4 linked regions of the Struthio camelus genome follow. The protein of the gene in region 1 purifies or fractionates together with the protein of each later gene. This does not show direct contact. Links are inferred from orthologs where the notes say so. Each region holds a gene or a part of one and is shown in the gene's direction. Other genes may lie near its edges.

Region 1 (6,852 bases):
GCGAGGGGCCGGGCGGCGGTTTCGGGGGGCCCCTGGCGGCATCGAGGCTGCCCTGGCGGCTCCGCTTGCGGCGGTGCTCCTCCGCGATGCGGTCGGCCCAGGCATCGTAGGGCTCCGGCTCCGGCGCGGCGAAGTCCTCTGCGCGGGGGGAGAGGGGAGGGCTGAGGCAGGCAGCCCCACGGCGCGGGGCTCTGTGGGGCAGGGAGCACCCCCCGGCAGCCCCGCTGCAGGCAAGGGGAGCTCCTTGGGGCGGCGAGAACGGAGATGGCGGCTTCCCGGCTGAGGGAGCGCGCGGGGTTGCCACGGGGCTGCCGAGGGGCAGGGCGTGGGGCTGCGTGCGGGCCCGCCGTGGGGCAGCCGTACCTCGGTAGCACTGGGGCTCGCCGCACTCGTCCTCCCACTCCTGCAGCAGCCGCTGGCGCCAGCCGCCGTCCGGGCTGGGGGGCTCCGGGGCGGCCTGGGGGCGGCCGGAGCAGCCGTGGGGCAGCCGTGGGGCAGCCGTGGGGCTCCCCCACCCCCCGACCCCCCGCCTTGTCCTGCCCCCCGGCACCTCCGGCTCCGGGCAGCGGCACCGCGGGGGCGCGGGGGGCTCCTGGTCGCCTGGGGACAAAGGGGAAAGGTCACCCGGACGCCTGGGTCCCCAGGGCCCGGGGGGAGGGGCCCCGGATGCCTGGGCCCTCCGGGGGGGAGGGGAGGGGCTCACCGCGGTGCCGCCGCCGGTGGGAGCCCATGGCGGCCCCGGGCGGAAGCGGCCCCGCAGGGGGCGGAAGTGGCGACAGGGGAGGGCGGAAGCGGCGGCGCTGGCGGGGGGGGGGGGCGGCGTGGAGGGACCCGCGCGGGGGTGACAGGGGCCAACGGGGCCCAAAGGGGGCAACGAGGGGACCAATGAGGGCACCAGTGGGGATCACCGGGGTGAACGAGGCTGCACGGCACGAATAGGGATCAATGGGGGAAGGGGAATCAGTGGGGATCAATGGGGCGAAGGGGGATCAATGAGGTGAAGGGGAATCAGTGGGGATCAATGGGGCAAATGGGGATCAATGGGGGAAGGGGAATCAGTGGGAATCAATGGGGCGAATGGGGATCAATGAGCTGAAGGGGAATCAACGGGGATCAACGACGTGAATGGGGATCGGTGGGGATTGATGCTGTGAATGGGAATCAGTAGAAACCAACGGAGCAAACAGCAATCAACGACATGAACGGGGATCGACGGGGACCGACAGCATGAATGGGGGTCGATAGGGACCGACAGCGTGAATGGGGATCGATGGGGACCAAAGCGCTGAATAGGGGCAGAAGCAGATCGAGGGTGCGAACGGGGACGAAAGACTCGCGCGGGATCAATGGGGACCAAAGCGGTCAGCAGGGATCAGTGACGCGAATGGGGGTCAAGGGCAGGAACGGGGTCCGTGGGGTTACGCCGCGCCCCGGCAGGTCGGACTCACCGGCGGCACCGCAGCGAGCGGCTCCAGAGTCCTGGGCAGCGCCAACCGCGTCGCCCAGCACGCGAAAGCTGGGTTTCCGCCCCGATTTTGCCGCCAGCGCGAGGGGGGCTGGGGCGAGCCCCGGCGGCCGGGGCCGCCGGCGCTCAGCGGCCCATGTAGGCGCGGAGGTCGCGCTCCCAGGCCCGGGCGGCGGCCTCCCGGCGCTGGGCCTGGCGCTTCCCCGCCGCCCCGGCCCGCTCGGCCCTCGGCTTCGGCGGCTCGGCCACGGCGGCGGCGTCGCGGGCCTCGAAGTGGGTGACGCGGGGCCGGAGGTCGCTGGGGCAGCCCAGGCCTCTGTGGTCGCGCTTGAGCAGGGTCTGGACGGGGAAGCGGCGCCCGTCGCCGGCGGGGCCCAGCCCGGCGCGGCCGTCCCAGCCGCCCTTGACGAGGAGCCGGAAGCCGACGTTGGTCTCGGGGATGTGGTAGCGGGCGGGCGGCGGGGGGTCGCCCCGGCTGAGGAGGTGGGCGGTGGAGCGCTCGTGCTGCGCCGCGCTCTCCTCGGCGTAGTGCGTCCCGCAGACGCCGCAGAAGCGCCGCTCCGCCGGGGCCGGCCTGCGGCGGGGAGAGGAGGCGTCAGGCAGGGCCGCGGGCGCCCGCTGCGCCCCGCCGCCGCCCGGGCACCGACTCACCGCGGCGCCTCCTCGGGCTCCGGCCGCCACTCGCGCAGCAGCCGCGCCAGCCCGCGGTGGCCAGCGTCCTCGGCCAGCCCGGCGGCGTCGCGGCCCCCGGCCTCGCGGAAACCCGTTCGGGCGGCCCCGCGGCGCAGCAGGTAGCGCACGGCGGCCGCTCGCCCCGCGCGGGCCGCGCACATCAGCGCCGTCCAGGCGAAGCCGTCCCGGTAGTTGACGTCGCAGCCCTCCTTCTCCAGCAGCCGCCGCAGGGTGCCCAGGTCGCCGTCCTGAGCCGCCTTCAGCAGCGCGTTGCCCCGGCGAGTGTCGGTGGGGCCCGACGGGGCCGCGGGGGGCTTGCGGCGGGCCCGGGGCGGCTCGGAGGGGGCCGGGGGCGGCTCGGCGGGCGGCACAGGCGGCTCGGAGGGGGTCGCAGGCGGCGCGGCGGGGGGCACAGGCGGCGCGGCGGGGCCGGCCCCGTCCTCCCCGGCCAGGAGGCTCTCGTAGAAGCGCCGGGCCTCGTCGCCGGCCTGGCTGCCGGGCTCGGCGGGGGCGGCCGGGCGCCGCTGGAGGTGTCCGTCCTTCCAGCAGTCGGTCTCGTCCCGGGCCCGGGTGAAGGCGATGAGCTGGGCCATGGCGGCGCCCGGCGGCGGCTCAGGGCTGAGGTGGGGGGAGAGGCCGGGTCAGGGCGGCAGTGGGGGAAGGGGGGGATGTGGGGCAGGGCCCTGGCAGGGGAACAGCCCTAGAGAAGGAGGGTTGGGGCTGGGGGGGGGGGGCAGGTGCCCAAGGAAGGTTCAGGCCTAGGGATGTGGGGCAGATCCTGGGGAGGGGGGAAGAGCCCTGGAGGGGGTCGGTGGGGCAGGTCCAGACTTGGGGGGGGGGTCGGTGGGGCAGGTCCAGACCCGGGGGGGGGGGTCGGTGGGGCAGGTCCAGACTTGGGAGGGGGGTCGGTGGGGCAGGTCCAGACCCCGGGGGGGGGTCGGTGGGGCAGGTCCAGACTTGGGGGGGGGTCGGTGGGGCAGGTCCAGACCCGGGGGGGGGTCGGTGGGGCAGGTCCAGACCCGGGGGGGGGTCGGTGGGGCAGGTCCAGACTTGGGGGGGGGTCGGTGGGGCAGGTCCAGACCCCGGGGGGGGTCGGTGGGGCAGGTCCAGACCCGGGGGGGGGTCGGTGGGGCAGGTCCAGACTTGGGGGGGGGTCGGTGGGGCAGGTCCAGACCCCGGGGGGGGTCGGTGGGGCAGGCCCAGACCCGGGGGGGGGGTCGGTGGGGCAGGTCCAGACTTGGGAGGGGGGTCGGTGGGGCAGGTCCAGACCCCGGGGGGGGGTCGGTGGGGCAGGTCCAGACTTGGGGGGGGGTCGGTGGGGCAGGTCCAGACCCCGGGGGGGGTCGGTGGGGCAGGCCCAGACCCGGGGGGGGGGTCGGTGGGGCAGGCCCAGACCCGGGGGGAGGGGGTCGGTGGGGCAGGCCCAGACCCGGGGGGAGGGGGTCGGTGGGGCAGGCCCCGGCCCTGGGGGGGTGATCCCGAGGCGGCAGCGGTGGGGCAGGTCCCCGCGGGCAGGCCGCACCCCTCCAGCCCCCCAACTCACCATAGAGACGGCGGAGCAGAGCGCCAGGGCGCCGCGCTCCGGCGCGCAGGCGCAGCCGCGGGGGAGGGGGGGCGCGCAGGCGCACCGCTACGGCGGGCGAGGCGGAGGGAGCGCGCGCATGCGCGTCGGCCACTGGCGGACCGCCACCCCCCCGCGCATGCGCGCGCCGCCCGGCGGCCGTTGTCGCGTCCCCCAGAAGCCCCCGCGCGGCGCCGCCGGGGCCGCGCTGGGCTGCAACGACGGCAGCGCGGGGCGGTGAGTGCGAGGCCCCGCCCCCCGCCCCGTGGCCATGGTAACGAGGGACCCCCCCCCTCGGGGGGGTTAAGGCCGCTCCCCCGCAGAAACACCCCTTTCCCCGGTAGTGGGATAAGCCACGCCCACTCTAGCGCAGGCCCCGCCTCCTCTCGCGGAGCCGGGGGGGGTATAACGGCCCCCTCGCGGTTGTAGTTCTCAGCCCCCCCCGCGCCATTCACCCCTATGGAGGAGGCGGTGCCGCGGGACTACAACTCCCGCCGTACCTCGCGCCGCCCCACGTGACCGGCCCCGGCCGCGGGTCGCGCAGCCGCACTCCCTCCGCCGCGTCACGTGGTGGGGGCGCCCTCCCACCCCACTCCCTTCCGCGCGGGGGCCGCCGGGAGCTGTAGGCGGGAGGCGGCTCGCGATTGGCCGGCGGAGGGGGGGGAGGCGGCTCCCGCGGCGGCGCGGACTCCAGTTCCCGGCGGCCCCCGCGGCGGCGCATGCGCGGGACGGCGCGGCGCAGGGCGGCCTTGCTGCGGGGAGGGTTGGCGCTGCGCGGCCCCTTGTTCGCCCCCTGAGAGCCGCGGTGAGGGGCCCGGACGCCTGGGCCCCCGGGGGGGCGGGGCCGAGGGGGGCCCGGACGTCTGGGTCCTGGGGGGCTGGGGTGAAGGGGAGCCCCTAAGTGAGGGAGGGCCGGGCCCCGGACACCTGGGCCCTTGAATGGGGGGGGGTGAAGGGGCCCCCGGACACCTGGGCCCTTGAGTGGGGGGGGGTGAAGGGGTCTCGGACGCCTGGGCCCTTGAGTGGGGGGGTGGTGAAGGGCCCCGGGACGCCTGGGCCCTTGAGTGGGGGGGGTGGTGAAGGGGTCTCGGACGCCTGGGCCCTTGAGTGGGGGGGGTGAAGGGCCCCGGGACGCCTGGGCCCTTGAGTGGGGGTGGTGAAGAGGTCTCGGATGCCTGGGCCCTTGAGTGGGGGGGGGGTGAAGGGGTCTCGGACGCCTGGGCCCTTGAGTGGGGGCGGTGAAGGGGTCTCGGACGCCTGGGCCCCTGGCGGGGGTCATCCCGGCCTCACCGCCCGCCTCCCCCAGACTCCGGGACCATGAGCAGCTCCGAGGAGGTTTCCTGGATCTCCTGGTTCTGCGGCCTCCGAGGCAACGAGTTCTTCTGCGAGGTGAGCGGGGGCCGCCCGGACGCCTGGGTCCCCTTGGGGGGGGGCCGGGGGGTGCCCGGACGCCTGGGTCCTCACGCCGCCTCTCCTGCCCCAGGTGGACGAGGACTACATCCAGGACAAGTTCAACCTGACGGGGCTCAATGAGCAGGTGCCGCACTATCGCCAGGCGCTCGACATGATCCTCGACCTGGAGCCAGGTGCTGGGGGGCTGCGGGGGGGCCCCGTGGGGCCCCTGGGGGGGCTGCGAGGGTCCCTACGGGGCTTGAGAGGGCCCGGAGCGGGGGTTGAGGGTCCTTGGTGGGTCCTAGGGGAGCTGCAGGGAGCTGGGGGGGTCCTTGGAGAGGTCATAGGGGGCTTGGGGGATCTCGGGGGGAGCTGGGGGGGGACCAGGGAGATGTGGGGGGGCACAGGGAGGTCCCGAGGGGGTCGGGGTTCTAGGGGAGTTAGGGGGGCTCCTGGGGCATTGGGGGGCCCTGGGGGGGCCGTGGAGGTCAAGAAGGGATCGCGAGGGGGTTCGGCGGTCCTGGGTTGGGCTCGGAGCCTTTGAGGGGTCTCGGGGGGGGTCGGCGCCCCCCGAGGGGGGCTGGCGGGGGGGGGGGGGGGGCCGGACGCCTGGGTCCCCGCTGACCCGCCCGCGCAGACGAGGAGCTGGAGGACAACCCCAACCAGAGCGACCTCATCGAGCAGGCGGCCGAGATGCTCTACGGCCTCATCCACGCGCGCTACATCCTCACCAACCGCGGCATCGCCCAGATGGTGGGTGCTGCGCCGCCCCGGGGCCGGGCGCCCCCCCCGCGCCCCCCTCACCGCCCCTCTCGCTCCCCCCCCCAGCTCGAGAAGTACCAGCAGGGCGACTTCGGCTACTGCCCCCGCGTCTACTGCGAGAACCAGCCCATGCTGCCCATCGGTAGGGGCGGGGCCCGGACGCCTGGGCCCTGGAGCGGGGGCCCGGACGCCTGGCTCGGCGGGTGCCGGGGAAGGGAGGGTGGGAGGCGCGGAGGGGCCCGGACGCCTGGGCCCCGCTGAGCCGGCCGCGCGCAGGTCTCTCGGACATCCCCGGGGAGGCGATGGTGAAGCTCTACTGCCCCAAGTGCATGGACGTCTACACGCCCAAGTCCTCCCGGCACCACCACACCGACGGCGCCTACTTCGGCACCGGCTTCCCCCACATGCTCTTCATGGTGCACCCCGAGTACCGGCCCAAGCGGCCCGCCAACCAGTTCGTGCCCAGGTGAGCCCCGGCCCCTTTTTCTCCGCAGCGTTCACTCTGGGGCCTACTGACAGCCCAGCGCTGTCCCGATGCTTTTTTTTCTTCTTCCAGGCTGTACGGTTTCAAGATCCACCCCATGGCGTACCAGCTGCAGCTCCAGGCCGCCAGCAACTTCAAGAGCCCCGTGAAAACCATCCGCTGAGCCCGCCGCCCCGGACACCTGGGTCCCTCCTCTCCCCCCGCAGCAAGGGGCCGCTGCTGCCTTGTTTTTCCTTTCTTTTTCCGTCGCGTTTTTTGGGTCTGGTCCCTCGGGGCAGGGCTGAGGCCCCTTCCCAGTCCTACGTACTGTTTAAATTAATCTGTTTTTGGTTGATTTTTCTCAGAGTTCAATTACAAAAAGAAAGAAGTTCAGAAAACCGGGCCACGAGCGAGGTGGTTTTTTGTTCCGCCTTCGCGAAAACCCGCCCAGTTGCTTGTTGTCGTGAGAGCGACCCCGAGGCGGCGGCGGGAGGGAGGGAGGGGTGGCTGCAGGCCCCGGCGCGCCCGGCCTGGATT
Region 2 (7,309 bases), on another chromosome or scaffold:
GTTATCTAGAAAGAGATACCAGTGCAGCAGCTGAAGATACACGATAGACATAGGTGGAGAACTGATGACTTCAAGCAGATCTTAGAGAAGCACTAGCTGTCAAAGCTTTGTGTTAAATACAGTAGTACAGGCAAATGGCAGGTGCACAGGTGGGGAAAGAAGCACAAGTGAAAAGTCCCCATCAGAAATTCTGAAAATAATTCCCAGAGATAGTCCTCCCCTTTCTTTTTTCTGTGAATTCTTCTACTAGGAGAACTGTAACTGGGACAAAGTAAAAAGACACCTAAAGAAAAATAAGAATCTAAAAGACAGTTTTCAGAGTGTTCAGGAAGAAATCATGGCTATGATCAGTTTCAATGCTGAGGGGTGGAATCTAGCCACAAGATCACGTCTAGCTTTTATTTATGTTTTTTTCATAATAAAATGTCAAGAACTGTCAAGCTGATGAAGTTAAAATTATATTGTAATTTTCATGGATTTTTACACATTTTTAAATCTGTCACATTTTTATTTGGAACATTTTACCAAATAGTTTACTTTGTCACACCTCTCACAGAATAACAATTAGATTAATACTGGTTAGCTTTCTAACTATCTAAGTATCATGTCAACATTAGTTGCCTTGGTGAACCCTAACAAGAGTCATTTATATCTGATAACTGAATATTATCCTCATTACTGATTTACTACTTTAATGTCTCTTTCCTAAAGGGACATTAGCTCCATTCATTTTGTATCTGCTATTGCAGCATGTGCTCTCACATCACATTACATGGACATGAACATGAACATAGATTTTCATTGTCACATTATGTGCATCAGACCCATTACAATATCTGGAAACTGCAGAAAACAAACCATCCTTTTACTAAGACCACAAAACAAGTCAATACCAAAGCAGCCATTTATAGTAAAGAGCTCTCTTGTTCCTTTCTTGGATAGCTTCCTAGACTTTACAGTCTAGACACCTCCAGAAAACTTTACCCCAAGGGAAATGAGTTTGATGTAAAATGTATGAGCTGTTTGGGCCTGGCTGGGCAGTCACAATTACAGCCTGGAAGCGAACGACACATGGGACTGGCCTAGGTCGAGATGTCAGCTCCAAAACCAATCCTACCTACTTGGCAATGGCCAATGACAATAGTCTGCTTCTGGAAGGGCAGAAACCCTCTCCTCTATTACTCCATGTTAGTTGTCTAGTCGGACTGTTGTCTTGCCTAGCTGAGTCAGTTTACAAGTCCCTACAAAGTTCACTTGAGCAGACCAACAGACTTGTTTTTCTTACACTATAGTTCCACAAATACTTTCAACTAACAATGCTAGCAAATGGAGTGGTTTGGGGTTTAGGTTGCTCAAACTGATATCTGCCATTCTGATCAGACTGCATAGTTGCCACACAGTTTGAATCAAGCTTTTATATAGTCACAAACGCTTCTCAAAGACTTTACTGAATGTTACCTACGCACGCTCAAAGTCAATATCTGACCTACAGATGTTAAAGCATATAAAAGTAAGCTATTGAAAGAATAAGTTATAAACTTGTCAGTGCATTCTCAAATTTTAAGTGTTACACAGATCCTCTACATTTTAATGCTTATCCTAAGCGGGTATTTCTCAAGGTATTTCCATGGGGCTGTCATTGGGTAAGTCCTTTCCTAAAAAGACACTTCTCCTAAAAAGACATCCTGGTTTTAGGAGCCCCTGTACCTCAGATATAAATGGAGTTCTGCATAAAGAATGTCAGGAACATTACTAAGATCTGAAAAAAATTGGTAAACTGATCACCCATCTAACCACAACCAACAGGCAGGATATTGCAGTCATCAACCTGCCCTAATCCTTAATAGAATAGATGTAAAGTCCCAAAATAGCAAATGCATTTTGAAAGATAAAGAAAGTTAGTTTTCTAATTTGAGGACTTAATTCAAGGCACTGTTCCTCCTGCAACAGTAAGTATTAGCCAAAGTACTTCTTTTCCACAAGGGTCTGCTTATGTCAGGCTGTGTTAGACGCTCTGCACGTTCTCGATGTTCTACACAGCTCTGTATTTAGTTCTTGACAGACAGGTGAAGAAAGAAATATTTTTATTTTTTCTTAAAACGTGCTTGACACACATGGAAGTAAATCCTTCAGGTTCTACCCCTGCAACAAAGCAACTTTATTTGCAACCAAGACAACTCATATAAATAAGACAAATACTTGGTAATCTATATTCTGCTGTACCTTTCGATGATTTAGATTAAGGTAGATGTAAACACACTTCAATGCCAAAAGTTAATTTGTTAATTTAAAAGTTAAATAAGGATGTATTAAAAGCACTGAAAAAGACATTCTGATTTGTTTCAAGATTTTACTGACTACTTCATTGAAGTCCAAAATTCTCGCCCTAAAGACCAAAGATCAGATTACAGATCAGCTGTTCAGTGGCTGAACTGGAGCGTTTGAAGGCTCTCAATTAAATTCTCAGCTGAAGGTCTGTGGATTTCAAGAAGCTGATGGATTATAGCCTGTTCTTAAAAAGGAACCAATTCATTTTTAGAAAGCTGTGCCAAAAAACAGATCCCGAAACATCAAGCGTGCTGCCCTCCAATGAATTTCCATGTTTGGCTCAGCCTGCTCTTTCTAACCCGAAACATGCAAAATACAAGTATAATCTGTTGTAACTGATGCTCACTTAGTGAACTGCTGCGTGTACATCCACAAGAGGACAAGCTATAGTTCAGGGAAAGAACAAGAAAACACGATGCTTCATACACAGGCAAGACTTGAACTCTGTGTAACTTTTAGCAACGTTAGAGAGCTTTGTTATTTATACTAATGATGTTGTAACTGGTTTCTAAAATGATTGAGTCAATGAACAGTAAAGAAAAAAGCTATAACTATTCTAAACATTAATCTGTTTGGATATTAACGTTACATATTTAGTAACTGCAACAATATATTTGTATAAAAGGGTTTTCAGTAGAAACCTATGAAAAGTATGTGTCAAAGCTTTGATTTCTTAAAATATGATCTGTGAAAAGTCGGCCTCCACCACCACCTTATAAAGAAATAAGCAGCAAAACAGTCCCACTTAGTCAAGAGAATGGTAACAGGTGATTTGATCACAGTTTGCCATTCTGTAGTACAGGACGTTTCAGATCTTTAGTAGAAGAAGTATCTCTTTAATTTAGTACAAAAAGACAAAACTTATCCCAAGCTGCATAATCTAATTTAGAAATATATCTGTTTTTAACAGTGTGGACAAACATCAACTCACTTTGAGGCCGGAGGATTCTGTCGCTTAGTTAGAAAGTGCTATCATTTGACAGGATAAACTAAATCTCCAGTAACATAGAAATTTGAGCCACAAGAGGAGGTGTTCATAGTTTATGGATATTGAGTAGGGATTTATACTGTGTAAGTACCCTTGATAAAAGAGTTATATCACTGTAGCGATAACATCAAACTCAGTTCTGTTTAAGATAAACAAGGGAGAGGCAAATCAAGAAAGGCACTGCATAAAACACTCAGAAGTTTCAGCAGCTAAACGTTGAGTTTCAGGAGGCTAATTTCCGCTCAAGATTAGCCGGAGGTTGGGGAGGGGAAGGTCGGTAATTTTTTCGGGGTATAAACACACTCCCTAAAAAGACCTGCCCCGATACGCCGGTGCTTCCTCAGACCTCCCTGGCGGTGGGCTGGGGGGCTCACGGGATGGCGGCCACGCCCGACCGCGGGAAGGCAGTTGGGCACGCGCAGCCCGCGGCGGTTGGGCGCGCGCGCGGCCCCGGCGTCCGGCAGCGCAGCGCAGCGAGCGCACGGCGAGGCGCAGGGAGCGCGCCGCGCCGCCCGCCGGGGAGGGCGGAGGAGTGCCGCCATCTCGTTAACGGAGGGAGCCCCGGGGCTGCGGCAGCGAGGGGCGAGCAGCGCCCCAGCCCAGCCCGAGGAGGTGCGTCTGGCCGCGGCCCCCCGCGCCGCCCCCGTTACCTGTTCCGACGGAAACACTCCTCGCGCAGGGCCGGCAGCCTCGCCTGAAGCCTGGCCAAGGTGGCCATGCTTCCCTCCGCCTCCCTCACGACGCCGCCACCATGGCAACGGGGCCGTACCACTCCGCGCGGGCGCGGGGGTGGCCGTTCCTCCCGCCGTCCCGCCGGCAGAGCAAGGAGGGCGCAGGCGGCAGCGGGAACCGCGCGGAGCAGGGCTGCGGGCGGCAGCGGGGCCGCGGCGGCAGGCGGGCCGGGGCGCGCCGCCCGCGGGCAGCGGGCCGGAGCGGGAGGGGAGAAGGCGCGATGGTGGCGCCCGGTTTCCTGCCGGTGCCGCAGCTGCTTCCGGGCTCTCATCATGGGGGAGTGAGGAGCAGCCCCGGCCGCCCGCAGCCTCCCCGCCCGGCCCTCGCCCGCCAGCCTCAGCCGCGGCGCCCCTCGCCCCGTCTCCGCTTGCCCCAGTCTCTGCGAAGCGGCGCCAGCCTCCCCGGGGAGCGGCCGGGGGAGGCGCCGGGTTCATGTTCCGGGTGGCTGAGCCTAACCCGACCCGAGCTCAGGCGGCGAGAAAGAGCTGGTGAGGCCGGGCCGGGCCGGAGGCGGCGGGGCGAGAGCGGGGCCGCCCGCGGGGAGGGGGGGGGGTGTCTCTGCCGCAGGGCGCGGGGGAAGGGACGGTGTCTGGGGCGGGGGGTGGGGGGGGAGCCCGCTGCCTCTGAGGGAGCTCATCTCCGTGCCAGGTGCGAGGCTTAAAAACTTGCGGACAAGTGTTTCCCCCGGCCCTCACAGCACCCCGGCGGGCAGCGGGTGGCCTGGCCTGCCCCGGCCCGCGCGGTGCTTATCTCTCCGCCAAAGGCCTCGGGGGAGGAGGGCTGCGAGGCCTGGCAAGTGCCACTTGCACGTCTCGAAGGTTCCCTTGTGCCTATAAGCGAGCAGTGGGGTGGGAGAAGAAACCTATCCTGTTTGCAGAAAAACAAAAACTCATCACAAACGTAGTTATTAATTTTTTTAATTGTTGACCCTGAAGGGCTACATCCTTTGTGATGTATGCTGCAGAAACAGGCAGTAAGGTGCAGTTGTTTTTCTGAAGTTACTATATTTTGTCTGAAACAAGAATCAACAAGTGTGGTTATAACCTGTGAGCAAGAAACATATACATAGTTCTAGTACAGTGTAATTTACTGTTTTATGTAATTCCAGATATTAGCATAATGATTCTAAATAGCGTATTATTTTTCTTATGGGATTGAGGAAAGGAGAAATCGAGCAACTGAAAGAGGAAAGATGGGAGGAATGCATATGCACAGAAGAGGGAAAAGCAAGTTTTGTTAGCAGGCCATAGAGATGGAGGTAGAAAGACTGGTAGCGGAGCGATTGTTGATGAAAGCAAGATGGCCTAAGCAGGCAACAGGGAAGCCTTCCGTTTTCTTCATGAAATGTTAAGTGTCTTGTGGCTTCCAAATGTAAACAGTATGTTAACTTTCTTAAAAGAAGCTGATAGTTTGGAAAACTTCAGGTCACTGTGTAAAATATTGAGAATGTTTCATATGAAATAGAAGAGAAATATCACAAAATATTATCCTTCTAAGTAGTGATAAAAAGAATGCTGTGTTTTATTTTGTTTTTCCCCATTATATGCCTCCAAAGATTAAAAACAGTGAAACTTCTCAAAATTACGTATCTTATTGTTAGTGTAAACCTCAAATCATTCTTGTGAAAAGCTTTCTCAGTTAAAACTGGTCCTGAGATTATTCTATGTATATTATGAAAGCTTGCGTTAGTTGAAGTGTTGTGTATTCCAATTGATAACTTCTAGTGAATTTCATTTTTATTAATGGTTACGGGGAGGCTTTTTTATGTTAATGGTAAAAGTTATAGCCGTAACTGCTGAGCAAGAAGTCTGAGATCTCATTGTATTATGTATACAGGCACTTGCAGGTGGGAACCCGGATCTTAAATCTGCTTTCCTCTTCTGTGGATGAAGAAGAAGAGGGAGGAGGAAAAGCTTAGCGTTCAGCTTTCTTAAATAGTAAACTCCTTTCCTTCCCCACTTGTACTACTACCACCACTTCTTTTTCCTGTGGGTGTTTTCATGGCTTTCTTACATTTTTGTTAATTAAAGAGCCTTCTTAGAAGAGTTGTATTTCCCAACATGCAATATATGTTTTAGAAAAAGTTTGATAGTTTTGCTAGGCATGTGAATTTGCCTTGCATAAATATAACTTTACTTTTGCTGGTATAGTTCATAGCACTTTCAGAGAATGATGTATGCTGTACTGGCAGAAGTCTTTTATCTCAGTACTAGTGTGCATGCAGTAAGAACACCACTGCCTAAGACATGCCTAAGGTATATCTGTACTCTGAGACTCAAAGTTTTCATTGTAGACCTGACCTGTCATTTGTCTTTAAATTTTATTGTTTTGTGCTCACGTAAAATAATTTAGTTCCAGTGGTTTTAAAAACTTTTCAGCAACACAAAAGATGGAAACTTGATGTTTTTCTCTATCTGTCATCAGATATTAATGGTTTTGTTTGTCCAAATACGCAGCCCAGAGGAATTCAGTACAGAGAAAATAACTGAAATCTTATTATCTATTGGAATATTAGTTTAACAGCTATGAAGGTCTGTTAAATCTCTGACTACTCATTGGAGCCGCTGTCTTTTCTTGTCCTTATACAGGAGTTATTTCAGAAGCTGTCCTTTAAGAGAGATCCTTTTGAGAGAAATGTGGTATTAAAGAAACAAAGGAAAATATTCTTTCAAGGTGTAATGCTTGATTTAGAAACTCAAGGATTTTAGCTCCCTAAAAACATTAAGACCGTAAAGAAGTTGGTAGATTCTGATCTTCCGCAGAATGAAATTTTTTATTTTGGGTGTTAAAGCTCCTCTGAAGCTGAATGTTTTTCCTTTATGAGTACATATGACAACTTAGAAATAGATTGCATTTTGGATACGTCCTGAGCACGCTGATTCTTCTGATAATGACTTTGATGCTGCCATCATTTGACAGTTCATGTGATTCTCCACCTTGACAATTAATTAATGAAGTTGACTTCTGAAAAGGGCAAGCATATCAGTAAATGGCAGCAATGGGATTGTAAGAATTGCCACCTCTCATGATAAATGGCTCCAAATCTCATTTCTGGCTGACCAATTCATTTGCATTAGAGCCTTGTTAAATGCAGTTCATGTCAGCATCTTTCTGACTGTGTATGTTGCTCTGTACTGATGTGGGTTTTTTTCCTCTGCTAAATATTACTGGAGAATGTTGTTTGAAATTTTGAATTGGATATACTGTATTGTTGTGCTTTCTTAGATAGTCAGCAATTTTAGAAAAGTCAGATGTACTTAT
Region 3 (7,711 bases), on another chromosome or scaffold:
TGCTCCTGCATCCCTTCCCGGTGCTCCTGCATCCCTTCCCTGCATCCCGGCGTCCCTTCCTGCATCCCGGCGTCCCTTCCTGCATCCCGGCGTCCCTTCCCGGTGCTCCTGCATCCCTTCCCTGCATCCCGGCATCCCTTCCTGCATCCTGGCGTCCCTTCCCGATGCTCCTGCATCCCTTCCCGGTGCTCCTGCATCCCTTCCCTGCATCCCGGCGTCCCTTCCCTGCATCCCGGCGTCCCTTCCCTGCATCCCGGCGTCCCTTCCTGCATCCCGGCGTCCCTTCCCGGTGCTCCTGCATCCCTTCCCTGCATCCCGGCGTCCCTTCCCGGTGCTCCTGCATCCCTTCTCTGCATCCCGGCGTCCCTTCTCTGCATCCCGGCGTCCCTTTCTGCATCCCACTGTCCCTTCCCGGTGCTCCTGCATCCCTTCCCGGTGCTCCTGCATCCCTTCCTGGTGCTCCTGCATCCCTTCCCTGCATCCCGGCGTCCCTTCCTGCATCCCGGCGTCCCTTCCCTGCATCCCAGCGTCCCTTCCCGATGCTCCTGCATCCCTTCCTGGTGCTCCTGCATCCCTTCTCTGCATCCCGGCGTCCCTTCTCTGCATCCCGGCGTCCCTTTCTGCATCCCACTGTCCCTTCCTGGTGCTCCTGCATCCCTTCCTGGTGCTCCTGCATCCCTTCCCTGCATCCCGGCGTCCCTTCCTGCATCCCGGCGTCCCTTCCCTGCATCCCAGCGTCCCTTCTTGCATCCTGACATCCCTTTCTGCTTCCCGACATCCCTTTCCTGTGCTCCTGCATCGCTTCCCTGCATCCCAGCGCGCCTTCCCGGTGCTTCTGCATCCCTTCCCAGTGCTCCTGCATCCCTTCCCGGTGCTCCTGCCTCCCGGCGTCCCTTCCTGCATCCCAGTATCCCTTCTTTGCATCCCAGTGTCCCTTCCCAGCGGTTCTGCATCCCTTCCCTGCATCCCACCATCACTTTCTGCATCCCAACATCCCTTCCCGGCGCTCCTGCATCCCTTCCTGGCACTACTGCGTCCCTTCCTGCATCCCACCATCCCTTTCCTCATCCCGGCGTCCCTTCCCGGCGCTCCTGCATCCCTTCCTGCATCCTGATGTCCCTTTCTGCTTCCCGACATCCCTTCCTCATGCTCCTGCATCCCTTCCTCGTGCTCCTGCATCCCTTCCCGGCACTCCTGCATCCCTTCCCGGTGCGTCCTGACGTCCTTTCCTGCATCCCAGCGTGCCTTCCCGGCGCTGCTGCATCCTGACATCCCTTTCCTGCATCCCGGTGTCCCTTCCCCGCACCCCAGTGTCCCTTCCCCGCACTCCGGCGTCCCTTCCCGCTGGCTTTCTGCCACCCCCCTGCCCGACGCCCCCCGGGACGATCGTCTCCTCCCCGACTGCCCGGGGCGTCCTGACCTCCTCCACCCCTCGCCTGCCCGCTCCCCCCAGGGCCGGACGCGGCCGGCGGGGCGAAGCTCTTCGAGGAAGAGGAGTCGCTGCTGTCGCTGCCCACCTCCCGGGAGGGCGACTCGCCGCAGCCGCCGGCCCCGGGGCTGCCGCCGGAGCAGCCGCACCTCCGCGAGTGGCCCAAGGTGAGACGCCGCCGGAGAGGGGGCAACGGCGCGCGGCCCGTTTTCCGCCCCCTCCTGCTCCATGCTAACCGCCGCCCTCCCGTCCGCTGCCCCGTCCGCGCAGGACCGGGCTCTCATCCACCGCATCGACCTGGTGTGCCAGGCCGTGCTGTCGGGCAAGTGGCCGGCGGCCCAACGCGGCCCCGAGCCCGCCGGCGGCGGCCAGGGGGACGGCGGGACCCGGCTGGCGGGTGACTACGCGGCCGCCCAGGAGGAGCCGCCGGCCCCTTACACCCGCCTGCGGCACAGCCCCGAGGAGAAGGAGTTCACGGTGCAGATCAAAGACGTGAGTAGCCGCCGGAGGGTCTCCTCCGCCCTGGGATGTCCCCCGTGAGCGTGGAAGGACGTCCTCCACGATCATGGAGAGGTGGCCATGCACAATCGTGGAAGGACGTCTTCCACGATGGTGGAGAGGTGTCCTCCACAGTCGTGCAAAGACGTCCTCCACGATGGTGGAGAGATGTCCTCCTTGGTGGTGGAAGGACGTCCTCCACGATCATGGAGAGGTGGCCATGCACAATCGTGGAAGGACGTCCTCCACGATGGTGGAGAGATGTCCTCCTTGGCACTGGAAGGACGTCCTCCACGATGGTGGAGAGATGTCCTCCTTGGCGGTGGAAGGACGTCCTCCACGATCACGGAGAGGCGTCCTCCTTGGCGGTGGAAGGACGTCCTCCGTAACGCCGCCGCCATCTCCCCGCGCCGCCCCAGGAGGAAGGCATCAAGCTGACGTTTCAGAAACACCGGCTGGTGCCCAATGGCGCCCTGCGGGACCGCTACCAGCACTTGCACCCGCCCGGCCACAAGAAGAACAGCAAGAAGCTGGTGGAGGTGAGCGGGACGAGGCAGCGCGGTCCCTCGCGGCCGGTCCCCCTTGCTTTTCGGGAGCCGCCTCTCTGACGGCGGTCTCTTGTGCCCAGCTGGAGCTGCAGTGCCTGGAGGGGCTGCGGGGCCCCGACATCGACCTGGAGGCCCGCATCCCCGTGGTGCACAAGGCCGACGGCACGCTGCTGGTGGGCGACGCGGCCCCCCGCCGCGCCGACCTGGAGAGCTGGCTGCAGGCTCACCCCGACTTCGCCGTGGACCCCCGTTTCCTGGCGGTGAGCGTCGTCCTCTGGGGGCAGGCAGCCCGTTTTCCGGCCTCCGCCGAGCCGCTTTCTCACCTTTCCCAAATTTCTCTTCCCCAGTACATGGAGGATCGGCGCAAGCAGCACAAGTGGCACCGCTGCAAAAAACCAGGCGCCGTGGAGGCCGGCTGCCTGCCCGGGCTGGAGCGAGGGACGGTGCCCGGCGAAGCCAACAGCAAGAAGGTGAGGTAGCCCCCCAGGACGACGTCCTCCCTGCCCACCTCCCCGCGTGGTCATCTGGGGAGCTGGACATCCCTCTGGGGCCGTTTGGGGTTTCCATCTCCACCAAGTCCCCAAATATGCGGGTGGGTGGGTGGGAAGGGGGAAGCTCTGTGTCGTGGAGGACATCCCTCCACGCTCACGGGGGAGATCTCTCCACTGTCGTGGAGGACATCCTTCTATGACCATGGGGGAGATCCCTCCACTGTCGTGGAGGACATACTTCCATGATTGTGGAGGACATCTCTCCACCATTATGGAGGACATCTCTCCACCATTATGGAGGACATCCTTCCACTGATGTGGAGGACATACTTCCATGATTGTGGAGGACATCCCTCCACCATTATGGAGGACATCCCTCCACCATCGTGGAGCACATCCTTCCATGATCATGGGGGACATCCCTCCACCATTATGGAGGCCATCCCTCCATGACCACGGAGGACAACTCTCCACTGTTGTGGAGGACATCCCTCCTACTGGCCAAACCAGACGGTATTTCACTGTCGCCCCTCGCCAGGGCTTCCTGCCGGACCCCGTGATGAGCCGGCTGCTGCCGGAGGGCAGCCCCAAGGCGCGGGGCCGGCGGGCCGGCGTGGACCTCTCCAAGATGGTGTCGCTGATGGGGCCGGCGGGGCCGGGTTTGCTGGGGGGGCTGCACGGCCCTTTCGCCCCCGGCCCGGCTCCCGCCTCCTCCGCCCTGCCCTACGCCGCCTCGTCCTCGGCCGCCCTGCTGCACCCCGCCGCCTTCGCCCTGGGCCCTCCGCGCCACGACGAGGAGGAGGAGGAGGACGAGGAGGAGGAGGAGGACGACGACGACGACGAGGAGGAGGAGGACGAGATGGACGACTTGTCTCAGGGCTATGCCAGCTCCGAGCGGGATTTCTCCCTGCTCGACGACCCCATGATGCCGGCCAACTCGGACTCCAGCGACGGGGCCAACGAGGCCGAGTGAGCGCCCTCTCCCCCTGCCCTCCCTCCCCGCGCCCCCCCTCCCCGAAAAAAAGACTCGTCTCCTCTCGCCCCCACCTCTACCCCCCCCCAAAACCGCGCCGCGGGCGCTATATTTATATAAATATGTAAAATGTCTTGTGTCATACGGCGGGGAGAGGGGGGTTTGGGGGGGGTTGGGGGGGGCACGGGCGGAGGGGGGGGTCGGTGATGGCGGCGGCTGAGGGGGAGGGCGGCGGTTGGGGGAGGAGGGGGGTGGGTTGGTTTGAGGGCCAGGCTTTTGGGGTAGAAGCTTCCCCGTAGTTGGAGTCTTTTTCTTTTTCTAATAAAAAGGGATAAAAACGGGCTGGAAAAGGCTTTTTTTTTTTTTAATTTGTTTTTTGCTTGGGGGAAGGGAAGGGGATGGATGAGGGCGGCCGCCGGGGGGGGGGGGGGGTCGCCCGTCGCCCTCTGAGGAGAAGGGGCGTCGGGCGACGCTGCGAGGTTTCCCGCCCTCGCCTACGCGCATGCGCGGCGCCCGGCCCCGCCCCCTCCTCGCCGCTTTTCCCGCCCTCGCGCATGCGCGACGCCCGGCCCCGCCCCGTCCTCGCCACTTTTCCCGCCCTCGCGCATGCGCAGCGCGCGCCCCCGCCCCCTTGCCCCCTCCGCGCGCGGCTCCTGGGAGGGAGGGGGCGGGGGGAAACGCCGCGCGTGCGCATGCGCCCAAGGAGGGAGGGGCGGGGCGAAGGGGGGTCGCGGCACCGGAAGCGGAAGCGCGCGCGCGCTCGCTCCCGTCGTCCTGGTGGTGGCGGCGGCGGCGACGGCGGAGGCGGCGGGGGGCGAAGCTCTTCCGGGGTGAAGGGCGGGAGGCGGCGGCACCGGCACCGGCACCGGCACCGGCACCGGCGGCCTCCAGCCCGGCCGACGAGCCCGAGCCGCCCCCATGGCGCTGAGCCTGGACCGCGAGGCCTACTACCGCCGCGTCAAGCGTCTCTATGGCAACTGGCAGGTGCCGCCCCCGCGCCGGGGGTTTGGGGGGGGGTCACGGGGCCCGTGGGGGGGGGTCACATGGCCCGTGGGGGGGTCACGGGGCCCGGGGGAAGCGGGTCTGGGGGTTGGGGGGGGCGTTACCGGGCTGGGGGAGGGATTTGGGGCTATTTGGGGGGGGTGGGGGGGTCATTGGGCTCGGGGGGGAGGGACCGGGGGGGGGGAGCGGACCCGGGGGGTTGGGGGGGACCTTAGGGCTGTTTTACTGGGGGGAAGGGAGGAGAGTGACCAGACCTGGGGGTCTAGGGGAGGTTTTGGGGGTGTTGGGGGAGCATGGGGCTGTTTTGGGAGAGGGAAGGGGGGGACAGTGGCCAGACCTGGGGGTCTAGGGGGAGTTTTGGGGGTGTTGGGGGGCATGGGGCTGTTTTGGGAGGGGGAAGGGGGGAAAGTGGCCAGACCTGGGGGTCTAGGGGGAGTTTTGGGGGTGTTGGGGGAGTGGGGGCAGTTTTGGGAGCAGGAAGGGGGGAAAGTGACCAGACCTGGGGGTCTAGGGGGAGTTTTGGGGGTGTTGGGGGGCATGGGGCTGTTTTGGGAGGGGGAAGGGGGGAAAGTGGCCAGACCTGGGGGTCTAGGGGAGGTTTTGGGGGTGTTGGGGGAGCGTGGGGCTGTTTTGGGAGAGGGAAGGGGGGGACAGTGGCCAGACCTGGGGGTCTAGGGGGAGTTTTGGGGGTGTTGGGGGGCATGGGGCTGTTTTGGGAGGGGGAAGGGGGGAAAGTGGCCAGACCTGGGGGTCTAGGGGAGGTTTTGGGGGTGTTGGGGGAGTGGGGGCAGTTTTGGGAGCAGGAAGGGGGGAAAGTGACCAGACCTGGGGGTCTAGGGGGAGTTTTGGGGGTGTTGGGGGAGTGTGGGGCTGATTTGGGTGGGGGGAGAGGAATAGGGGAGGTGGAAGGGGGGAGTAACTGGATGTGGGAGTCTGGGGGGGATCTAGGGCTGTTGAGGGGCAGTGTGGGGCTGTTTTGGGAGGGGGAAGAGTAGGGGAGGTAGAAGGGGGGAGTAACTGGACCTGGGGGTCTGGGGGGGGGTTGGGGGTCTTAGGGGGGAGCCTGAGGCTGTTTTGGGGGGGTAGAGAGGTGGAAGGGCAGAACAATTGGGTCTGGGAGTTTGGGGGGGTCTGGGGTCGTTGAGGGGGGGAGCGTGGGGCTGTTTTGGGAGGGGGAAGGGGGGGAGTGACCAGACCTGGGGGTCGGGGGGGGTGGGGGTCTTAGAGGGGAGCGTGGGGCTGTTTTGGGGGGGTAGAGAGGTGGAAGGGCGGAACAGTTGCGTCTGGGAGTTTGGGGGGGGGGGCTGGGGCTGTTGGGGGGGGAATGTGGGGTTGTTTTGGGGGAGAGAGGAGTAGGGGAGGTGGAAGGGGGAGAGTAACTGGACCTAGGGGTCTGGGGGGGGGTCTGGGGTCGTTGGGGGGGAGTGTGGGGCTGTTTGGGGAGGGGAGGGGGGGAGTAACTGAATTTGGGGGTCTAGGCGGGTGGTCTAGGGTAGTTGGGGGGGAGCAGGGGGGTGTTTGGGGAGGGGAGGGGAGAGTAACTGGGTCTGGGGGGGATCTGGGGTGGTTGTGGGGGCAGCGTGGGGCTGTTTTGGAGATATGAGGGGTGGAAGGGGGCAGCGACTGGGTCTGGGGCTGTTTTGGGGGGGTATATAGGGCTGGGGGGGGTCAGAGAAGCGATTTGGGGAGGGGGTGGTGAAGGAGGTCTCCAGTGGGGGGCACATAACTAGGCCGGGGGGGGGAGTTGGTCTATTTGGGGGAGGTGTAGAGCCGGGATTGGGGGGGGGGGGGGCCACCGACGCACGCGCCCCCTCCTCTCCCGCCCCCCCCAAAATTTCCACCCCGCAGAGGGGGGAGGACGAGTACGCCAACGTCGACGCCATCGTGGTCTCGGTGGGGGTGGACGAGGAGATCGTCTACGCCAAGTCCACCGCCCTGCAGGTGAGCCGGGGAGCCAAGGGGGGGGGGTCCGGGGAGCCGGGGAGGGGTCCGGGGAGCTGGGGAGAGGGTCCCCCCCCGCCGCTGACTTCGCCCCCGGCAGACCTGGCTGTTCGGCTACGAGCTGACGGACACCATCATGGTGTTCTGCGAGGACAAGATCCTCTTCATGGCCAGCAAGAAGAAGGTGGAGTTCCTCAAGCAGGTGGCCAACAGCAAGGGCAACGAGAACGCCAACGGCCTGCCCACCATCACGCTGCTGGTGCGGGAGAAGGTGAGCCGGCGCCCCGTCTCCCTCCTCCCTCCCGCCCGCCTCACCCCTGACCTCCTCCTCCTCCTCTTCCTCCTCCTCCCGGCGCAGAACGAGAGCAACAAAGCCAACTTCGAGAAGATGATCGAGGCGCTCAAGGCCAGCAAGAACGGCAAGCGCATCGGCGTCTTCAGCAAGGATAAGTTCCCCGGGGAGTTCATGAAGAGCTGGAACGACTGCTTGAGCAAGGAGGGCTTCGAGAAGGCGAGTGGCGGCGGCGAGGACGGGAAGGGGGACGGGGAGGGGAACGGGGGAAACGCGCTCACGCCGCTGCCCGTCGCCCCGCAGGTGGACATCAGCGCCGTGGTGGCTTACACCATCGCCGTCAAGGAGGACGGGGAGCTGAACCTCATGCGCAAGGCGGCCGCCATCACCTCCGAGGTCTTCAACAAGTTCTTCAAGGAGCGGGTCATGGAGATCGTGGACGCCGACGAGGTCGGAGGAGGGAGAGGGGAGGAACCCGGGCTCGAGCCGGTTGGGGGGGATCCGAGGGAGACGCGGTTGGCGCCGGGGCGTTGTTCC
Region 4 (7,165 bases), on another chromosome or scaffold:
TGCAGAGCATTTGCTTGGGTCATGCAACAACCCCTTCGCTCTTCCTGTCCTATCAGGCCGTACCTTTCTCTGTACTCACTGGAGAATGAGCTGGGCAAAGACACAGTAATGACTTGGCTAGTAGGATCCAGTGGAGCTTCTTCCCCTGCTCACCCTGGAAATGTCCCTAACAAGTAGCATCCCCTCTCCCCTGTCCAGTTCCAGCAACAGTTCAGCTAAAGGGGGTAGGTGCTGGCAACCTCAGCAATGCTGCCTCCAGCAGGAAAAAAAAACGGTATGTACAAAGGTCAGTAAAGGGTAACAATCCAGTCAGGGTAAGAGTGCTGAACATTTGGTATCCCCAGAGCACTTCACAAGCAAAATCAGCGCTGAGAAGATGGGTCAGCTCCTGTTGTCCGCACAGGGAAACTGAGCTACGCAGAGAGATTAAATGAAGCTGAACACAGACAAGGACTGAAAACTTACAGTCACAGCCCCACTTCAGAAGTGACCTTGTAAGACAGGACAGAAATAGCACGAGCTGCCCAAAAAACAGATGACCCCCAACTGCCTCTATTGTATTTCTCCATTTTCTATTCCCGATTGTTTGATTTTCCCCTGTACACATAAACGCTCTGCTTCTGCACCCTTTTAGTTCTTATGTCCCTTCCAAATTGCCAAAGCAGCTTCTAGTACCATCATTCCTCTGTCTGAAAATCAACCCCTTGTCCCAATCTGCTTTCTTTACTCAGGCAAAACACTGCTGACGTCTGTTGAAATTTGGTTTGAAAGAGTGAACATGGTAAAAATTGGCCAGATTAAGTAAAATTTATACCAGTTGCAAAACAGTTTGTTGACCAACAGAACAGTGAATTATTTGTGGAAAATTACTAGTGGTGAATTATTTGGAAAAAAAGAATGAAAAACAAGAGAAATTAGAGTGGGTTGCTGTCTCCCCAGGACATATGAACATAGGAAGTCTTTTACACAATTGTTTATCTAATTTGTTATCCTACCTAGAACTGTAGCCAGTATGAAGTGCTTGACATAAAGGTATAAGAAGCTCTGAGGTAGATGTTTACAGAATAACCTTCCCATCAGGGAAGTTTCTCTCTAAATGAGACATTTTGTAGCTGTTTTATATCCTGAAGCATGAAAAAGGATTGCAGCAGGAAAACAAGATTGGATTTTTGAAGGGATTGGCTCTCAGATCTGAGAGCAAAAAGAAACCACCTATTTTGGAAATAGGAACCTGACAGGGAAAACAAAATACTACAGTCTAGCAGAGTGAGCTACTGCCATAGAAAGGGTCAAAAAGACAAAAGGAAGAAAATTTACAGATGAATCAGTGCAGTCAAAGTAACTTAACTGAAGGCAGCAACTGGGGATGGGATAAAAATGATCCACCTAATGACTGGTTTTTTTAATATTACTTTTCTAAGTTAGTTTCTCAGAGAACTAAAAAGTAATGAAAACATTAAAGTGACAGCTCAAAACGAAATATAGGACTACTTAGAGAAACTGCATGTAGAGAACTCAGTGAAGCTATATGATGATTGTCCTATATGGGTATAGGAAGCAACTACAAATTCAAGGACTTTCTTATGGCTATTTTTGACACATCATGACAAACTAGGGAGGGTGCCAGAGGACTAAGGAAAAGCAAGTGCGGTACGAGTCTTGGGGGTGGGAGTGGAGGGAGCAGGGAGGAGGTAGTGATCTTGGCAATTATCACCCTTTCTGAATAACTTCTGTTTCTGGTGACATAATGGAATAAACAGCGGTGGGAAAAATGTAAAAATGCAAAGGATAATAGATCTATGAGCAATACGGAACAGTGTAGATTTACAAAGAACAAATCATGTCAGACAAACCTGATTACTTTCTCTGATTGAATTTACAAAATTAGTGGATGAAGAGAATGCCATGAACATAATATATCTGGACTCCAGCAAAGCATGTGTTACGCTGCCTCATAAAATGTAACTTGAAAAATGAACCAATATTGGCTTGAATATGAATGCTGCCACATGGATTTAAAAAAAAATGAAATACAAGAAACAGAAGGGAATGCTAAGCAAAACTGGACTGTGGGGTCATGCTTGGCTCTACTCTGATGACTGCTGGTGATCTGTAAAATGGGAGAGATTACAGGAATATGCTATAACAGTAAAAATGAGAGAGTTACAAATCTTAAGAAGGACAAGGGAGTAATACAAAGAGGTTTATCTTAGGAAATAACAAAACTATGTTTTGATATACACAGTAGAAACGTGAGCAGTGAAACGGAGGAGTGCTGGTGTCTCGTTTACTACTTGCCTACATCTTATAATTAAAAACAAAACAAAACAATATCAAGCAATAAAAGAGTAAGCAGATGGCAAGAGCTGTGAACACACAGCTTCTATTAGCAGCTAATGATCTGTAGAGACATGACCTGGGACTCCAACAATAGGACCTAGGAAAGCACAAATCTTCAGAAAATCAATAAGAAACATCAGGCCTTCAATGGTGGAGATGTTACTTTCATTCGAAAGCAGGCCAGAGGTCAGATAAGCTAGTCACTGATATTTCCATAAATAAGAACTTCATGAACCAACCTGTGGTGACTGATAATATACACCCACTAAATCAAGGAACACCTCAAGATTAGAGACAGAGCCAGGCACCAGGAGGTAGAGGCCGATTACTGCCTAGCTGCAGAAAAGACCTTACACACACAGCCACATTTCTGCTGACAACTTCTAAAGGTCAGGCCAGGACATGGAGCAGTCACCGAGATGAAATATTAGAATAAGTATTTGCTCCTCATCTAGGAAAAGCCACGGCCATCGTTTCACATGATACTACAACCACGCTGCTTGACAGCTCTACATCCAGACATAGCAGGTACCCTGTACATGGGAGTGGCTGGGCACTATCCGTGGCAGGGGTATGCCGTAAAGCTGAGGCTGTTTGGCCCAGCTGTAGACCCAGCCTTGCCCCCATCTGCTCTGCCCCTCTGATGGGCTCACCGCACTGTTTTTGCGACCACATAGTGAACCAGGCCAGGGAACTGATCTGGCTGAAAAGGACCATGCTTCTACAGGGTTTTTCTTTCTTTCTTTTGTTTTTTTTTTTTTTTCTCTGCTTTTCCAGTTCCCTGAGCTGGTTCATCATGCAGCTGGAGAAGCTCTTCCAGCTGCACAAGGATTGGCACTGGTTGCAGGAATGAAGAGAAACTGGGAGAGAGGGGTGCCTAAATGTATCTCCCGCCATTTTACATGACACGAGGTACTCCACTTGGCCTCCAGATGCTGCTCCAGAAAGATGCAGGTCTCCCATAGGTCCTGCCATATCTGCCTGCTCTAAGAAAGGATGTCTTGGGTACCCTCTAAAACGGTGCTGCGTTTAGGCACCTGATTTCCACTCCCGTTGAACATTAGACCATCCTTGACCTGGTTCATCACGGAGTCTAAGCCCAGGTGACTAGTGAGTGATGCAAGCCACTTACTACCCAGAACCGTCAGATGCAGGTTCCCTCTACAGTCCCTGTTTGGGTCTTCCGAGTTGCCTTTGGTGCAGTCTGCGCACTGGCTGTGCAGGAAGCCAGGATCCCACCAGTGCAGTTTGAATTGCTCTTCAGACGAGGCCGAGGCCCTGACCGCTACCTGAGTGTGGCCCGTTCCCTCTACTGTGGCATTCCTGCTGCAAAGAGGGAGGGAAATCATTTGACTAAGTGCTCTGATGCTCTTTGGAAAAAGACTCAAGCGATGAAGTTTAAGAAAGATTAGGCTGAATATGACAAAGCGCTTGTACGGATGAGACCTATCTGAGAACGTCACATCTGTCCGCAGTGGCCTGGTGGCGGTCACTGCTCAGGAGAAGGAAGCCCCCGAGATGCACCACTGCTGCAGAAGTACAGAGCGGTTCCCCCGGTGCGTTCATGACCGAGCTTCCCAAGGCAGGAGACGGGGCCGCGCAGGTGAGGCCCTAAACCCTGCCCCCGGCAGACGCCTCCCGCCAGCCACCCCGGAGCGCCGCCACGGGCAGCGGCCGACTGCGGCGGCGGCTCTGCCGGCGCCGCCTCACGGCGCGGCCCCTGCGGCCGCGGCCAGCACCAAACCCCGCGGCCGGGCCCGCACCCAGCCGCGGGGACGCCGCCGCCGCGGTAACGGCCGAGCCCGGCGCGGCCCCGCCCTCCGCGGGGCGGGAGCGGCGGAAGTCGCGCGGCGAGGCCGGAAGTGCCGCCGCGAAGGGCTGGCGCAGCGGCGGGGCGGCCGCGGGCAGGTGAGTGGCGGCGGGCGGCCGGGCCCCGGGCGGGCGGCGGCGGCGGCTGGGGCGGCGGCGGCGGGGGGGCTGGCCGGCCGGCCGCGGCCCCGCGGAGGGCGGAGGGCCGGGTCAAGCCCGGCGCGGGGGCGCGGGGCCGGCGCGGGGCCTGGCGGGCCGCGTCACGTCACGTCACGGTGCCGGCTGGGCGGCGGGACGCTCGCTTGCAGCATCGCCTTAGCCGGTGCCCCGGCTGCCGGCGGTGGGCGCCGGCGCGTTGCAGGCCGGCCCGCAGCGCCGTGTGAGGGCTGGGGGATGCCGGCCGCTGCGCTGGGAAGCAGCGGCTCCTCCCGGGAGGAGAGCGGCGTCTGGGTCCCGGACCTTCCTCAGGCTGAGAGAGCGAGGGCTGCTGTGGAGCAGGGGGTCCAGAAGTTAAGCGGAGAAGCCTTAAATTGCGGGAGAAATCGCACATGTGCAACACATAAACGGGGAGATGACAGTTATTGTGAGATGGGGAATTCGGGCAGGACTTTATGTTGGGCTCACTAAGAGTTCTGAGGCGGAGCGCGTTGGCTGTTTTGCCAGGAGGATTTGGGGGTTGGTCTTACATCTTTTGAGCTCTGTGTTTCTTAGAATAGACTTTCAAGTATCTTATTTTGCTATTTAATTGATACTGACTCACAAACTACCTGTTTTACATTCCATTTTACTCTGAGTTTTAGTGCCTTTGGAAGTCTTCAGTCTGTTTGCTGAGCAGACTAACCCTTCTGTGTGGCTTATAGCAACTAACATAATTAGATCGGGTAGCAAACTAGCTGTAGGCTCTCATACTCTTAAGATGTAATACAGTTTGTTGCTTTGAAGCAAAAGATGCGATCTTAAGGCCTTTTCAGGCACAGAGCACTTGGGTAAAATGTTGCAGTGGCGACACCTCTGCTGCTGTGGTTAGAAGGGGGATTTAACTCTGATGGAAGGAAGGAGCAAGCAATAGCCCAAGAAATGGCAGTTGTCCCGCATTACTTCTCGCAGGCAACTCCAAAGTAAGGGTGTACTTTGGTTCATGTCACAAAGGCTATAGCGTGCTGTAGTTTAGTGATGCGTTGGTAGCAGCATTCATGTCTGGTGCTAATTGTTCATTGTCATTTTTAGTAGACATTGCCAATGGATGAGCTGGTGCACGACTTGGCCTCGGCCTTAGAGCAGACTTCAGAACAAAACAAGCTGGATGAACTATGGGAAGAGATGGCCCTAAGCCCGCGGCAGCAGCGGCGTCAGCTTCGCAAGAGACGGGGTCGTAAGCGGCGCTCGGACTTCACACATCAGGCAGAGCATGCCTGCTGCTACAGTGAGGCCTCAGAGTCAAGCTTGGATGAAGCAATGAAGGATTGCCGTGAGGTGCTGACAGCCAACTTCAGTGACTCTGATGACGTGGCAGTGGTCAAACGACACCCAGCTCTCAGTGCCACCTTGAGGAGCAAGCAGCACTCGTGGCACGAGTCGGACTCCTTCACAGAGAACGCACCGTGTCGACCGCTTCGGCGCCGCCGGAAGGTGAAACGTGTGACCTCAGAGGTGGCTGCCAGTCTCCAGCAAAAGCTGAGGGTGTCAGAGTGGAACTATGAGAGGGGCTGCAGGTTCAAGTCAGCCAAGAAACAGCGTCTTTCACGCTGGAAGGAAAATGCCCCTTGGACATCATCTGGTCATGGCCTTTGTGAATCAGGAGAAAACAGGCCCTTCCTCAGCAAAGGGGGAAGGAAAGAGCAGATGGAATGTGAAGCTGATGAACAGAAACAGGGCTCAGATGAAAACATGTCCGAATGGTGAGAACTCACTTTCTTCCCTGTACTCAAGTCGGATGGCTACTTTGCTTGTAGCTGCTTGCAATCCTGTGCCTTATTCTAAAAGCTCTTATCAAAATTGTTCAGTGCTGTTCTCTTTCTGAAGAGGGGAAATCCCTCAGCTCCTTCTATGCTGTAGTTTTTTTTCCAGCGGTCTTTCCTGTCAGTGCAGTACTGATGACCCAAAACATACATTCTTTCAAGAATTGGCAAGCTGATCTGTCTCTGACCCCTGTTATACAAGCAGCCCTCTGAAAAGTCTGTGGCTCTGCTGCTACAAAGTGACAGGCTTGTGACCTGACCTTTGGCAAGTAAATATGCAGCTGGCAGTTGTGTTGTGTGATCAATTTGAACTGATCTCAGTTTCTTGTTTTCAGAGTTTACCCATAATAGTAATAGAGAACAGGTCAGATCCGCCATCATGACTGCTAGCCCTCTGTGCAAGTACTGTATGAACCTCAATCAAAACATTTTGTTTGCAGTTCTGAATCTCTGCTCTGAATCTGGAATACTGCAAGGCTAGTCCTGCAAGGCTAGCTACAGGGAGGGTGTAGTGAGAGGATAAAGAAGTTGGGAGAAATTGACTTACAGTATAGGTCTGCACACACAGGGGGATCTTGCATGTCTTTGTATTCAGGCTTTGACGAATTTGTGGCAGAATCTCATACAAGAGATGAAAACTGGAAATGCAGATGCCATGGTCTAAACTCGTTTGTATATCACTCTTGAGAAGTTTCCCTCTCGAGTGTGATCTTTATCCTCTCTATAGTAGGTTTGGGGCTATAAAACCACTTCTGTAAGAAGAGATTTTTCAGGCTAGAAAAGAAACAACTGCTGAGGGGCAAATGGAAAAGGTTTCTTAATGAGTGGCCTGCAGAAAGCAAATAGGGATGTTCTGTGCATAGTTACTGTGAGTAGTTATCATGTAAGAAATGGGAGATATTCAGGAAACATTTAAAACAAGAAGTGTTTTATTTTTCATAAAGCACAAATTTTGGAACTCTGCCATGGGGCGTTTTGGAGGACTAAAATGTGCCCAAAAGGGGGATGTGGAGGACAGATTTATCAGAGACTGTTAGGCGTTACAGATCAAATAGAAG

What was found.
Region 2: the proteins of CSNK2B (region 1) and GPATCH2 purify together in Homo sapiens (co-immunoprecipitation; 3 studies listed by BioGRID and IntAct, with this or other methods). This does not show direct contact. The link is inferred for Struthio camelus from reciprocal best matches to the Homo sapiens genes CSNK2B and GPATCH2.
Region 3: the proteins of CSNK2B (region 1) and SUPT16H fractionate together in Homo sapiens (co-fractionation; 4 studies listed by BioGRID and IntAct, with this or other methods). This does not show direct contact. The link is inferred for Struthio camelus from reciprocal best matches to the Homo sapiens genes CSNK2B and SUPT16H.
Region 4: the proteins of CSNK2B (region 1) and GPATCH2L purify together in Homo sapiens (co-immunoprecipitation; 3 studies listed by BioGRID and IntAct, with this or other methods). This does not show direct contact. The link is inferred for Struthio camelus from reciprocal best matches to the Homo sapiens genes CSNK2B and GPATCH2L.

What each region holds. Positions count from the first base shown.
Region 1 is NC_090977.1:8,396-15,247, reverse strand, and holds CSNK2B (casein kinase II subunit beta), read left to right. Parts: upstream 1-3,839; 5' UTR 3,840-3,935; intron 3,936-4,411; exon of another isoform or gene 4,412-4,503; intron 4,504-4,563; exon of another isoform or gene 4,564-4,805; intron 4,806-4,886; exon of another isoform or gene 4,887-5,004; 5' UTR 5,005-5,015; coding exon 5,016-5,087; intron 5,088-5,181; coding exon 5,182-5,284; intron 5,285-5,727; coding exon 5,728-5,843; intron 5,844-5,918; coding exon 5,919-5,994; intron 5,995-6,128; coding exon 6,129-6,318; intron 6,319-6,408; coding exon 6,409-6,499; 3' UTR 6,500-6,717; downstream 6,718-6,852. Other genes in the region: NFKBIL1 (NF-kappa-B inhibitor-like protein 1), read right to left, coding at 1-138, 364-600, 704-731; GPANK1 (G patch domain and ankyrin repeat-containing protein 1), read right to left, coding at 1,592-2,039, 2,117-2,730. UniProt on the Homo sapiens protein: Regulatory subunit of casein kinase II/CK2.
Region 2 is NC_090944.1:116,592,378-116,599,686, reverse strand, and holds the start of GPATCH2 (G patch domain-containing protein 2), read left to right. Parts: upstream 1-4,302; 5' UTR 4,303-4,480; coding exon 4,481-4,536; intron 4,537-7,309. Other genes in the region: SPATA17 (spermatogenesis-associated protein 17), read right to left, coding at 3,967-4,034. UniProt on the Homo sapiens protein: Enhances the ATPase activity of DHX15 in vitro.
Region 3 is NC_090970.1:44,831-52,541, reverse strand, and holds the start of SUPT16H (FACT complex subunit SPT16), read left to right. Parts: upstream 1-4,693; 5' UTR 4,694-4,857; coding exon 4,858-4,923; intron 4,924-6,789; coding exon 6,790-6,882; intron 6,883-6,982; coding exon 6,983-7,153; intron 7,154-7,240; coding exon 7,241-7,393; intron 7,394-7,477; coding exon 7,478-7,624; intron 7,625-7,711. Other genes in the region: CHD8 (chromodomain-helicase-DNA-binding protein 8), read left to right, coding at 1,454-1,596, 1,700-1,921, 2,347-2,466, 2,556-2,735, 2,823-2,945, 3,505-3,939. UniProt on the Homo sapiens protein: Component of the FACT complex, a general chromatin factor that acts to reorganize nucleosomes. The FACT complex is involved in multiple processes that require DNA as a template such as mRNA elongation, DNA replication and DNA repair.
Region 4 is NC_090946.1:58,363,733-58,370,897, forward strand, and holds the start of GPATCH2L (G patch domain-containing protein 2-like), read left to right. Parts: upstream 1-4,164; 5' UTR 4,165-4,248; intron 4,249-5,376; 5' UTR 5,377-5,388; coding exon 5,389-6,047; intron 6,048-7,165.